2 linked regions of the Kluyveromyces lactis genome follow. The protein of the gene in region 1 purifies or fractionates together with the protein of each later gene. This does not show direct contact. Links are inferred from orthologs where the notes say so. Each region holds a gene or a part of one and is shown in the gene's direction. Other genes may lie near its edges.

Region 1 (7,926 bases):
TGTTCCTTCTTTCTCTAAGTCACAACCCTTTGAAGTTGGTTCGAGCTTGATGAAATTTAAAGGAACAAAGATCTTCATGTGCACATCACAATGATAGAAAAGGTGATTGGCAGAAAGATCAGTGCTGAAGCCAAGGGGACAGGTGAGGAGATACAACTCTAGGGTCATAGAAACCATCAGCTATGTTAGTTCCTCCAGCGAATTTCGGGATTCCCGAGGAAGGTATCTATCGATGCAGTAAACTTGAGACCATTAACCTATCATTTTTGGAGACTTTGAATTTAAATACGATCATATTCATCGGTGGTCAAATCCCGAGTAATTTCTTCAAAGAGTTCTTCGCCACTAACGGCATAGATTACTTTGTCATTAAGACCTCTGGTGATTCGAGTTCTTTGGTAGCCCCAGATCACAAAAAGCGTCAATCTTCTGCGAATCATGGTGAGACGAGACGGAAGAGTCTTTGTGATAACTGTCACTACAGTTACACACTCACGGACCAAGACGATTTGATGCTAATCAAGAGTCAGAGCATCCGGCGAATATTCCGGATACTGTTAGATGTCTCGTACCATAACGTATTGTTAGTGGATAAGACGTCCGCTGTGATTGGAATATTGAGAAAGATTCAGAAATGGGAACTATCCTCGATAATCAGCGAGTACAGGCTATTCACAGGGAAGAACAAGAACTACTTTGCAGAGACGTTTTTGGAATTGATAGATATACGGCTAATACAAGAAGAAGAGCAACCAAACCAGCAGGAATCCCACGATACAGATTCTTCCACCGTGACTTCCCGGATGGATAATCTTTCAGTGGAAGAAAAGCAACAGCAAGAACAGCAACAAATACAAACTGTGCAAGAATCTGATCTATCCATGCCTCCGGAGTTACCTCAGCACATGATGAGCATGATCCATACGATGGAACTGAAACCAGAAGAGGATGCAAAGGAACATGAGCTTCCGATAAAACACTCCAGGTCTGCATTAGGCATTTTCGGAAACAGATATCGTTTGGCATTCAACAAGAGAGAACGCAATGAGTACACCTACTATCAGGCATCGAACGTTAAAAACGCATTTTCAATCGGAGTCCCCACTGAAGAGGCATTGCCGAACTGGTTCAAGTTCCAAAGAGACATTTGGGATCAACAGCATGCCGTTGAAGAACACAATCACTACAAAGAGAGTATATTTATATGATGATGCTCTAAAGTAATAAAAAAAAAACAAACACAGACACACGGCTGGTTACTGTTTCTGGCCTTCAAAATAGAAAGGTTGTGAATAAGGTAAGAACGATTAAATTCTTGATCAACAAATCCACTCTGTGGCCAGCCTCCTAACGCTTACAGGACGCTTTCGCATCATGTTGGAAAGAATTAAGAGTCGATATATGGGATTCGTTTACCATGGCTATCTAGAATAATACGTCACAGACATGGAGATAAAGTCCCATGCTGTTTAAGAAACAGAAAGAATATGTATGTGTACAAATATGTAATGTTGTAAAGTGGTGATGAGATGAGATGGGATGCAATTCTGCTACGGACCTTTTTAAAGTGAAAAATTTTTGAAAAATTTTTGTATGGGCGATGAGATGAGCTTTGAGATAAATACACGAAGTGTGTTCATGCCCTAAGGGGGTATGCCAGTGGTGGTGGTGGTGGTAGTGGCCTACACGCCACTACCACCAACTTGATTTCCCCATACCTCAACGTAAATCACGTGCATACCAACGTACACTGACTATCCCATACATGTCTTCAAGTCTTTATCGGAACTCAGTTCCCTCCTCATCGAGCTTCATTCAGTTTGTAGAATGACTAATAGATGGTGGGTTGTCCCCAGACCAGTGGTCCCCCCGTCTGGCTGTCTGGCTGTCTAGCTTTGCCGTTTCGATTGTACCTCGGCTGTCGAAATTCCAATGGAATTTCGCAAAACACATTGGTGAACCGGAACCTGTAAAATTCCATCTCAATGGCACATCGCTCGAGATGGATAACGACAGAGAGCAGGAATAGTGAGTTTTTGATGAGCTGCTACTACTGGTACTACTCTTGTTGATTTGATGATTTACTGACTTTTGTAATATATATATATATATATATATAGTGACTATATAAGTTGAGGTAACAGAATTGCAACCTGCTATCTTTCCTGCCATAATAGACAGATCATCATCTCTTCAAGAAAATACTCTTTCTGTGATCGCAACCAACGTATTAACGATGTCTAAAGTTTTACTTCTTGGATCTGGTTTTGTTGCTCAACCTGTTGTCGACGTTTTGTCCGCTACTGATGGTATTTCAGTCACCGTCGCTTGTAGAACTTTGAACAAAGCTCAAGCTTTGGCCAAAGCTTCTGGTTCTAATGCCATCTCATTGGACGTTTCCGATCCAAAACAATTGGACGCTGCATTGGCTGACCACGATTTGGTGATCTCATTGATCCCATACACTTACCATCCAGCTGTGGTTCAATCTGCTATCAGATTGAAGAAGAACGTTGTTACCTCTTCATACATTTCCGATGCCTTAAGAGAATTGGAACCTGCTATCAAGGAAGCTGGTATCACCGTCATGAACGAAATTGGTTTGGACCCTGGTATCGACCATTTGTACGCTGTCAAGACCATTGACGAAGTGCACAAGGTTGGTGGTAAGATCAAGTCGTTTGTGTCGTACTGTGGTGGTCTACCAGCTCCAGAAGATTCTGACAATCCATTGGGTTACAAGTTCTCTTGGTCTTCAAGAGGTGTCTTGTTGGCATTGAGAAACAGTGCTAAGTACTGGAAAGATGGTAAGATCGAGACTGTGTCATCCGAAGATTTGATGGCCTCAGCTAAGCCTTACTTCATCTACCCAGGTTACTCTTTCGTATGTTACCCAAACAGAGATTCCACTTTGTTCAAAGAATTGTACCATATTCCAGAAGCTGATACCGTCATCAGAGGTACTCTAAGATATCAAGGTTTCCCAGAATTCGTGAAGGCTTTGGTCGATATCGGTATGCTAAAGGACGAACCAAACGAATTGTTTGCTTCTCCACAGCCTTGGAACAAGGCTCTTGCACAATACTTAGGTGCTGCTTCAGAAAAGAAAGAGGATCTAATTAAGGCCATCGATTCAAAGACACAATGGAAATCAGACGACGATAGAGAAAGAATCCTTTCTGGTCTTGCTTGGTTAGGTTTGTTCTCTGACAAGCCATTCAACGCTAGAGGTAATGTCTTGGACACCTTGTGTGCTACTCTAGAGGAATTGATGCAATACGAAGAAGGTGAAAGAGATTTAGTCGTCTTGCAACACAAGTTCGGTATCGAATGGGCCGACGGAACGACTGAAACTAGAACCTCTACTCTAGTGGACTACGGTAAGGTCGGTGGATACTCCTCAATGGCTGCTACTGTCGGTTACCCAGTCGCCATCGCTACTAAATTCGTCTTGGACGGTACCATCAAGGGCCCAGGTTTGGTTGCTCCATACTCTCCAGCTATCAACGATCCTATCATGAAGGAACTAAAGGAGAAATACGGTATTTACCTAAAAGAGAAAACCATTGCTTGAAGCACTCATATACGTTGGTTTGAAATCTAAAGAATGCTCTCTCTGGTAGTGAATTGCATGATTCTTTTTCCCATCTTCTATATATATTAACGTGTACGTATGTATATCAACAAAGTAGCTATATTGCTTTAAATCCCGTTATCTTTGGAGTTACTATTTGTGGCACGTATCGTACTGGTGGGTGTTGTCTATAGTGTGTTATTGGAGTGTTCTTTTTGTATCAGTTACAGTTTGGCATCTCTTCTCATATAATTATAATTAGTTACATATTATAATACTCTCAACAACTACTTGTAAGAAAACATACAGGACTAACAAGGATCAACTGAACGAAGCGAATCAGAACATTTGTCCATCGGTATACTTTACATATTCAGCAGTGAAACATCTTTGGAGCCGATCATGTCGAATAGCAATGGGTCCGGTAATCTGTGGAGCAAAGTGAAGTCAGGAACGAAATCGTTATCCTCATCCATTCAACATCTAGCAGTAAAAACTGAACATGATGGCGATACACCAAATTCAACGTTGGTACACAAAGCTCTAGTGAAGTATTACTCTAGCCAGGAACCGTTCCAAGGGTTCCCGGCATGGTTAGGTCATACTGGAGACAGACCAGAGGAAAAGTTGTCTGGGTCTGTGAAGCAAAAGATCACTGGACCGTTCTCTTCTTCTAATAGGCATAGTAGTGGTGCAGAAAAGGTTTCACAATCAGAAATACCTGTTTCAATAGAGGAATCCAGGTCCGTACCTCAAAGAAGGACTCCCGGGTCTTCTGCTTTCAGAGGTCTCGTATCTTCTTCAAATTCGAATGTGACGTCGCAGGCGTCGTCCACATTATCAAATACGTCTCATAATTTCATGAGCGAGCCTTCATCAGGTACCGCACCAAGGCCTACAGTGTCTACTCAATCGAGCAAGTACGATTCTGTTTCATCTAGACTAATGCAGAGCAGACTTCGCATGAATAGAATCAATTCCAGTTCCAACTTGGATGCTTAAAGTTTATTCAATGCTATGTAGATTCAAGTAAGACAAAACAGCACATTAGAGTGTTGTATTTCATAGTTGCCAGTTAGAGATTGATACAATATGAGGTCTTTGGGGCCATACTGCGGGTCCTCTTGTATCCTTTCTACGTATTTCGCATCGAATTTGTAGACCCCGGTTAAAAGCGACCTGGAGTTCATCAAACCTGAAGTCACAGAGGAAACACTTGGAATAAAGGAAAAGACTCTCACAAAGGGTAAAGACAATAATTTTACGCTGCAGTTTCAGTTACAGCCATTGATTAGGCCAGATATACTACCTGCAATCCATTGTTATTTCAGATATTCAGAACCTTTGGAATTGTGAATCCGAACTGAACTGAAGGAATGTCGAAGATTAAGATAGCCATTGATAGAGGTGGTACTTTCACGGACTGTATTGCAAACCCTGGGTCGGGCAATCCAGAGGATGATGTTGTTATCAAATTGTTATCGGTAGACCCTAGGAACTACCCAGACGCTCCATTGGAAGGTATAAGACGTTTACTCGAGATTTGTCAAGGTAAATCGATACCTAGAGGTCAGAATCTAGATATCTCTGGTGTTGATACCATTAGGATGGGTACCACACTAGCAACCAATTGTGCATTGGAAAGAACCGGAGAAAGATGTGCGTTAGTCACTACTAAAGGTTTCGAGGATGCATTAGTAATTGGAGATCAGACTAGGCCTAATATCTTTGATTTGGCTATCAAGAGACCTAGACCTCTATATGAGACTGTTGTAGAAGTCAATGAGAGAGTAACGCTAGCAGATTATGCTCAAGATCCAAAGGGTAAGAGGACTCGGCCGGAATCAGAAGATGATCTCGTGTTAGGCAAGTCTGGAGAAACTGTTAGAGTGTTGCAAAGAATTAATGAAGAAGAAGTTCGAACTACTTTGAACATTTTGTATGCTACCGGGATTAGATCATTGGCCGTTGCCTTTTTACATTCATATACATACCAAGAACATGAACAAAAGGTTTATAAGATCGCTAAAGAGATTGGTTTCACTCATGTTTCCTTATCTTCTGAATTATCGCCTATGATCAAGTATATTCCGAGGGCAAATTCAGCCGTTGCTGATTCTTACTTGACTCCAGTGATCGAATCGTACCTCGAAGGAATTGAGTCAGGTTTGGACAAAGCAGAAGACACTAGTATTCAATTTATGCAATCAGATGGTGGTCTTGTTGATGCACATAAATTTTCAGGTTTAAGGGCCATTCTCTCGGGACCTGCAGGCGGTGTGGTGGGATATTCTGCGACATGTTACAATCCAGAGAACAAGATCCCATTAATCGGGTTTGATATGGGTGGAACATCTACAGATGTCAGCAGGTATGGTAATGGTATCTTGGAACATGTGTTCGAAACCACCACTGCTGGAATCGTGATTCAAACTCCACAACTAGACATCAATACAGTTGCTGCAGGTGGATCTTCCAGATTATTTTGGAGCAATGGTCTTTTCAAAGTGGGCCCTGAATCAGCTACAGCGCATCTGGGTCCTGCATGTTACCGTAAAGGAGGCCCATTGACCATTACGGATGCGAACTTGTATCTTGGTAGATTAGTTCCAGAATTTTTCCCACATATCTTCGGTCCTAACGAAGATGAGCCCTTGGACGTTGAAGCTTCTAGGGTATTATTCGAAAAGATTACTGAAGAGATCAACAACGATCTAAATTCCTCGATGAGCGTTGATGAAGTTGCCTATGGGTTCTTAAAAGTTGCGAACGAGTCAATGGCTAGGCCAATCCGTACTTTGACCGAGGCTAAAGGACATGTGATTTCGCAGCATCGTCTTATTTCCTTTGGTGGGGCTGGTGGTCAACATGCCGTATCCATCGCTGAAACATTAGGAATTGATACAGTTTTGATTCATCGTTATTCTTCCATTCTTTCTGCGTATGGCATGTTCCTTGCGGATGTGGTTGAAGAGTCTAGAGAGCCTTGTTCTTACGTGCTAGATGAAAGTAATCGCGAAACAAATGCGTTGATTGAGGATAAATTCAATAGGCTCACATCCAAATGTATTGACACGCTAAAGCAACAAGGCTTCAACACTGAGACTATCAGATTGGAGAAATATTTGAACTTGAGATATGAGGGTACAGAAACCGCTTTAATGGTCTTAGAATCGGGAGATACAAGCTACACAAACCAATTCCATGAACTACATAAAAAGGAGTTTGGATTCAAGTTTGAGGATAAATCGATCATAGTGGATGATGTGCGAGTAAGGGCCACTGGTGTATCCAACGTAAGAGAAGAAGAGTACATTGATTCTCAACTACAGAGATTGGTAGCAAAGGCTGCTCCTGAACCTTTATTCAGGAAACCTGTTATGTTCGGTGAAGGGTGGGTTGAGACTCCTATGTACAAATTGGATGATTTGGAGATCGGCACTAAAATACAAGGACCTGCCATCATAGCTGATGGTACCCAAACTAACTTATTGACACCAAACTCAACGGCTACGATTTTAAAATCACATCTGTTTATCAAGATCGAAAAGAACACTAAGACCAGTAAGGCTCTCTCAGAAGCTTCAGAAACAATTGATCCCGTGTTATTATCAATCTTTGGACACAGGTTCATGGATATTGCAGAGCAGATGGGTAATCAGTTGAGAAAGACGTCTGTATCGACAAACGTGAAGGAAAGGCTAGATTTCTCTTGTGCACTATTTGACAAAGATGGTAACTTAGTGGCTAACGCACCTCACGTTCCAGTGCACTTGGGTTCGATGTCAACTTGCATAAAGATGCAAGCAAAACTCTGGGAAGGTAAATTAAAACCAGGCGACTCAATAATGACGAACCATCCGGAGATGGGTGGTACACATCTACCGGACATTACTGTAATCACACCAGCGTTCGACCCCAAAGATGCGACTCGTATCTTGTTCTATGTAGCGTCAAGAGCGCATCATGCAGATATCGGCGGATCCTTACCTGGTTCCATGCCCCCATTTTCAAGAGAGTTGTACGAGGAAGGTGCCGCCATATACAGTGAGAAGTTGGTAGAAGATGGTATATTCGACGAAGCGAAAGTCGTCAAATTGTTTTTCGATGAACCGGCACAGTACCCTGGTTGTAGTGGGTCGCGTAAGCTTGCTGACAACGTATCCGATTTGAAGGCCCAAATCGCCGCCAACACAAAGGGGATCCTGTTAGTCGGAGAACTAGTGAAAGAGTATGGATTCAAAGAGATCGAAAGATACATGTATGCGATCCAATCGAATGCCAGCGATACGGTGAAGAAGACTTTGAACAAGTTATCATTACAGATGAACCGCGGTGACATCGATTCCGTG
Region 2 (6,484 bases), on another chromosome or scaffold:
GGTAACAAATAAAACACGCTCAGGTGTACGGTATACCCTGCGTTGAATCGTCTGGTGATCAGAAGAAAGAATGTGAAATGGAGAGCTATTTCTCGTCTAAGCTTCGAACGGTTGTTGGATAACTCTCACTGATCAAATTTATACATCTATAAGGGTACGAGATACCCATATAGTACTGTATGTGTGTTCTTCTCCGGGTAACCTAATTTGTGTTTCGTTTCTTTAAAACACTGCAATATGGAAAATTTTAAAGATTTCACTGGATAATTTCTAAGCTCATCTCATCTCATCTTGCGGATGGTTGATTCGGCTTGAATTAGTACAGTTCTTCTGACTTATAAACACTAGTTCTGCTTGTTACGCCAGTATACCACTGCAGATAAATCAACTGAAATTATGGCGACTAGGACACAATTTGAGAATTCTAACGAAATTGGTGTGTTTTCGAAGCTAACTAACTCGTACTGTTTGGTGGCACTTGGTGGTTCGGAGAACTTTTATTCTGCGTTTGAAGCCGAATTAGGAGATGCTATTCCTATTGCTCATACCACTATTGCAGGTACGAGGATTGTTGGTCGTATGACTGCTGGTAACCGTAGAGGGTTATTGGTTCCAACTCAAACTACCGACCAAGAATTACAACATTTGAGAAACTGTTTGCCAGATGCTGTGAAGGTTCAAAGAGTTGAGGAGAGATTATCTGCGTTAGGTAATGTTATCTGTTGTAATGATTATGTTGCTTTGGTTCATCCAGACATCGACAGAGAAACTGAGGAGTTGATTGCCGATGTCTTAGGTGTTGAAGTTTTCCGTCAAACAATTTCGGGTAACGTTCTTGTTGGTTCATATTGTGCGTTGTCTAACCAAGGTGGTCTAGTGCATCCTCAGACTACAGTACAAGACCAAGAAGAACTTTCCTCTTTGTTGCAAGTCCCACTAGTTGCTGGTACTGTGAACCGTGGTTCGCAAGTCGTCGGTGCTGGTATGGTCGTGAACGACTATTTGGCAGTTACTGGTCTAGATACCACCGCTCCAGAATTAAGTGTGATCGAATCTATCTTCCGTCTACAAGACGCTCAACCAGAAGCTATCTCTGGTAACTTGCGTGATACTTTGATCGAAACTTACTCATAAAAGGAATTGATACAATCGCTCTCTTCTGTCATTTATATCGTTTTGGCCCCCATTATCGCCCCATTTTTTAATGTAATATTGGTGTATATCTCTGGATCTGTATAGTACAATTTTTATTTTGATTGCTCTTTGGCATTTGCATCAACCCCATACTGTTTATTTCCTTCTTTCTTTTGTATTTTGTGCATCGTGGTTCACTAAGTACTACTGGACCCAAAAGAAACCTTTAAATTTAAATGAAACAAAAGAATCGAAAAGTTGTAGTTCCTTTAACATCAATTTTTAGATAGGTAAAGACAAGGTAAAAGGGGAACATCGATCAAATAAGGTTAAAAGGTTGCTGTTACCGTAGTGAAACCATGGGTATTAAGAAGTTCTTCAAGATCAAGCCACCTCCAGAGGCTACCCCCGAAGAAAACCGTGAATATTTGAACGAGTTAGGAATTTCCACCAAGACTACACCATCAAATAGAAGAGAAAAGTTTGCCGCATATGGGAAGTTTGCTAACGATAAGGTCAAAAGTAAGGTCTATGCACCAGAAGGATATGAACAATATGCGAATCCTGGAGCTCAGCCTTCTGAGCGACAGCAGTTGGATGATTTGAACAACTCTCCTTACGATGAAGTCTCCATGATTAACAATAGAAACGCTTCTGCCAGCGCTCGACACACGGGCAACTACGTTGATCCATATAGCAATGATAATGCATCTCCGTATGGGAACAGTGATTCCTCTCCCTATGGAAATGCAAGTGCTTCTCCATATGATACCGGTTACAACGCGCCACTGCAGCAGAACAATAACCCGTATGGATCAATGAATAATAGCTACAGCAACAAAAGCTATGGCAGTAACAGCTATAGTGGTGATACATACGCAAGTCCGTCTCCGCAGGCATCTAGCAGCAATAATAATGGTGCTACCGGTCAGAGACCTAGTAACCCTTATGCTAACATGAACAGTCAGGATCCGTATGGAACAAATTCGTATTCAAATTCTGGTAGCGTGAATGCATATAAGGGCTTTACTCCAAATGTGGCGGCTTCTGATGTTTCAAGTAGATCTTATGCCTCACCTCGTCACTCTACATCTGCAACCAGATCAAACGACCGTGAATTTAATTTCGAACGGTCCGGAGCTGATGACGAAATAGATCTCAATGAGACAATTAGGCCAGAAATTGATAATCCTAAGGGAGTTCAACGCAATGGCAACGGTGATGATGATGATTTAAACAATTCCATTCATGAGAACGAGGGTATTGGGACCCCTGCAAAGGGTTATCAGACATTTGAAGATATTCAAAAAGAAAGTCAGCGTGCTGAACAACAAGAAGAAGATGAAGAAGTAGATGGGATCAAGCAACAGATCAAATTTACAAAACAGAGTTCAGTTGCCAGTACGAGAAACACGCTAAAGATGGCACAGGATGCTGAATTAGCTGGTATGAATACCATCGGTATGTTAGGACATCAATCGGAGAAATTGAACAATGTGGAAAGAAACCTGAATTTAATGCAAATCCAGAACAGAGTTGCCGATGATAAAGTGAGTGAATTGAAGAAGTTAAACCGGAACATTTTAGCGGTCCATGTATCGAATCCGTTCCATAGTAAGAGACGTGCACGCGAAGCGGAAGATAAGATAAAGTTACAAAGGATGCAGGACAAACAAAACCAAGAGGATATCACGTCGACGTTACACCAAAGTACGAAACGTATCGAGAATGCCATGTCGAGTGGACATGGTCCATCTGAAGTTCGTGATCGGTACCAGAACCAGCAGATCTTAGAGAAGGCTAAAAGGTATCAGTTCGAGAACGACGAAGAAGATGATGAAATGGAAATGGAAATCGACAAGAACTTGGATAAGATTGGACAAATCAGTGGTAGGTTAAAGAAACTTGCGATTACCACTGGTAAGGAGATAGATTCTCAACAAGATCGGATCAAGCGGATTGAGGAGAGCACCGATGATTTGGATATCAAGATCCATGTGAACACGACTAGGTTAACCAATATAAGATGAAGGAAGAGTCTTATAAATAAAATGTTAATTAAAAAATGCAAAATGTGAGATCGTTAAAGTCGCCATGGCGGGGGTATACATCATAAACATATTCTATATAATATCAGAAAGTACTGCTGTATCTTATCTATCTTCGATGTAGAAAATGTGTGAAAGCGATTGTGCCAGGAGTTCCACCTGGAGGAGGAAAAGGGGCCAGCATAAGAGAGCCCATATAATCATAGCGTGTTGTTCATAAAGAGAGTGAGTGTGTTTGTGTTGTGTTTGTGTTTAAGTATTGCAAAGTTATTGTGATGTTCAGGAATCCTCTTAACTATCCTGTCAAATTATAGTTCAACCAAAGCTTGTAGTTATCCTCAGCAGTATGATCCGTGTAACTGACAAACTCTTGATCCTTCCCAACGACAGAACGCGGTATCGTCATCATCGGAAGTGAAGCCCCATGTCCTAATGTGTTCCTATCCAGTGACAATTCCAGATCGAAATCCATATCATCTTGATCTCGATCTAGAAGATCATATATCGTGGAAGACGTACTACTTCCGGTGCTTCGATCCAAAGGTTGTAAAAGAGGGGATCTGATGAGAGAAGCAGGAGTACCGACCAACTCATTGGTTAACTTTAAATTCTCAATGGTCATTCTATCATTTTCTTGACATTGAGAAGAACAGTATAACCTGTCATTATCCAATTGAGCATCGCAATTACCACGTTCAATCAATTGGCCACAAACGGTACAATAATCGTTGAATGCTGACATCGTAAACTAGTAGGTATTGCGCAGACAGGTATCCTCGGCTTCACTGGCTTGTGAAAAGGTTTTCTCTTTCCCTATCTATCTCGTGATTACACTTGAAATCCCCTCAGCTACTATTTTCACCATATACCCAATATATATATTGCTTATATATATGTATTATATAAAAAGATTATGGACATCGTGCCTTAATCTCAACTAAAGGTGAGCTGAGTTTTAGCAATTAGGTAATGAAATAATAATGACCACACACACATGCGAGAATGTTCAAAACGTCTAAAATGTTCTCAGGGCACACGAGCACACATACACCGCCAGAGTTGGAATTTTTCTCCGTCATTACACACAAATCGTGGCACCATGACACATGACACAAGATCGTAAAGACGCAGGTTTCCTAGTGTCTAGCCCTAGGCCCCATTCCGAATCGCCCAGGATCGCTGTCGATGACACTCGAGTCCTCTGGAGTCTTTCTCTGAGGTCTCTTTCTCAGTAGGTCGGAATGAGCCACGCCATTGTCCACACCGTGGGAAGGTGAAAAAAAAAATTTTTCACCATTTTGCTCATCGCAACAGCGAAACGAAAGGAAGCGAAAGGAACGGTGTTAGCATCACATACGCACGTTTGTCAGTGTATTTTTAGCAAGTCTTCGCCCGTTCTCGTTGTTTACTGATTTAAAACGGTTTTCTACACGTTTTTGTTCGGACCGGGCATCGATCCAGCCAGCCCTGTTTGCTAAAATTGGGGATTTATAATCACTCAAGGTGCCATATGCTCGTTGAGTGATTATTTAAACACAGGTCACGTGCCGGAGATCTTGATGTACATGGTTTAGAGTTTAGAGTTTAGAGTTTAAAGCCCACTCAGAATACACACACGCCGTGTCTATCTGTGGAGTTGTGTGTTTTGAATACCAATTAATTAGAGGTTTCTTGGGGTTTTGTGGTTTTGTCTCAGGCGGAGCATGAAACGTACACGTTTCATGGCCTCAACTCATGGAGCCAGCCACGGTGTAGCCCCATGTGTTAAGTAATTTTAGATCCTCCATAGAGTAAGTCTTGGCAGTGTGGTGACAACCTTAAATGACACAGGAAAAGAAGAAAAACCGTGGCACGTGATGCTATTGCTCCGGGTAATGATGAAGACTGTGTTCACGTGACCACAATCGAAATGTTTCTCTTTGAAAAGAAATTCTTCAACTCGCGATGAGATGAGATGAGAAGATGATATACAGCAATTAAAGTGACATTGACATTGGTAAGATTACCGATCTGTTTGCTGATCTACCATTGTGAATCCCCGATAATTATACCTCAGTTCCACCATATATTACCCATGGACAGTAAAGGGTACCTTAAATCGTATGGCTGGCAAGAAGGTGAGGCCTTACGGAACGGAGGACTGAAAAAACCGATTCTTGTGAAACACAAGAAAGATAAGAAAGGGCTTGGATGTGCACCAGGACATGATGACAGTGAAGCCTGGTGGGAACGTTTGTTCGACGGACAACTTCGAAACTTGGACATCAAAAGCGGGTCCGATGGGATCTCGTTCAAACAAAACGAAGTCGTCGCTTCTTCCATATCAAAGAGCGATTCACCACTTTATCGATCATTTGTTAGAGGTGAAGTGTTGAAAGGTACCATTAAAACAGATCTGCCGTCCAACAATGGATCTACTATAGTTAAACTGGCTGTTTCTGAAGTGACATCGAAGAAAGATAAAAAGAGCAAAGACGAGAAGAAGAAGAAGAAGAAGAAGAAGTCGCATAAGGTTGACAAGCCAAAGAGTAAGCATAAGAAAGACAAGAAGGATAAGCATAGGAAAGACAAGAAGGATAAGAAGGATAAGAAGGGTACACACAAGCGTAAAAGTTCACATTGATGTTCTCTTTATTTTCTTCTTGCAGCATCATCCCTCCATTGTACGTACATGTTGTATATAAAAATTCTCGTTAGATAGACGATTTAAACGCATTTAGTTCATTTCAAGGTTTTCAACAAATAGTGTAAACAAGCTAAATTATTCCACTGTCGAAAAGATACTGCCCAAGACGCGGCTTAACAGCATTCCATTGGCAGCAGTCCATATATTGAATTTCTAAATGCCCAGTTTCAAGTGGCATGTTTTGTTCGTGGTTCCCTTCTTCTTGGGGTGGGGGGAGTGTTTGTTTGTCCTATCGGTTGCGTCTCTTTTGTCAATCATTTGGATATATCTTGCATTAAATGAACAACCTCGGGTGCTCCCAACAAAACCAACGCTAAGGTTCACAGGTGATAAACCTATTACCAAAACTTCAGATGATGATAATTTTGCCGGTCAAGAAGCCTTGTTCCCCAATAACGAAGCATTATCAAAAGAAATTGATATCTTACTCAATAACATCATCAGCAATTTCATTTTATCCTGGTTTGGATCAATCAGTGAATCAGACAAATTTCCCAATACTGTGAAATCGGTGTTAAAAGAGGCCATAATACGATTTTCGATTGCTCTCTCAGATGTTGACCTTTGTGAGTTGATGATTTTAAGAATACTACCTTTATTGACGAAACATTACACT

What was found. The genes of interacting proteins can lie anywhere in the genome.
Region 2: the proteins of MSO1 (region 1) and SEC9 purify together in Saccharomyces cerevisiae (affinity purification with western blotting, with the first as the bait; 4 studies listed by BioGRID). This does not show direct contact. The link is inferred for Kluyveromyces lactis from reciprocal best matches to the Saccharomyces cerevisiae genes MSO1 and SEC9.

The regions. Positions count from the first base shown.
Region 1 is NC_006039.1:1,659,158-1,667,083, reverse strand, and holds MSO1 (Mso1p), read left to right. Parts: upstream 1-3,976; coding exon 3,977-4,576; downstream 4,577-7,926. Other genes in the region: OCA4 (Oca4p), read left to right, coding at 183-1,208; KLLA0_C18755g (uncharacterized protein), read right to left, coding at 1,816-2,172; LYS9 (saccharopine dehydrogenase (NADP+, L-glutamate-forming)), read left to right, coding at 2,237-3,574; KLLA0_C18711g (uncharacterized protein), read right to left, coding at 4,600-4,764; KLLA0_C18700g (uncharacterized protein), read left to right, coding at 4,951-7,926. UniProt on the Saccharomyces cerevisiae protein: Involved in secretion. Component of the secretory vesicle docking complex.
Region 2 is NC_006040.1:170,557-177,040, reverse strand, and holds SEC9 (Sec9p), read left to right. Parts: upstream 1-1,493; coding exon 1,494-3,164; downstream 3,165-6,484. Other genes in the region: TIF6 (translation initiation factor 6), read left to right, coding at 397-1,134; ECL1 (Ecl1p), read right to left, coding at 3,478-3,924; TMA23 (Tma23p), read left to right, coding at 5,257-5,805; MDM1 (Mdm1p), read left to right, coding at 6,026-6,484. UniProt on the Saccharomyces cerevisiae protein: Component of a SNARE complex that may be the effector of SEC4 function in exocytosis.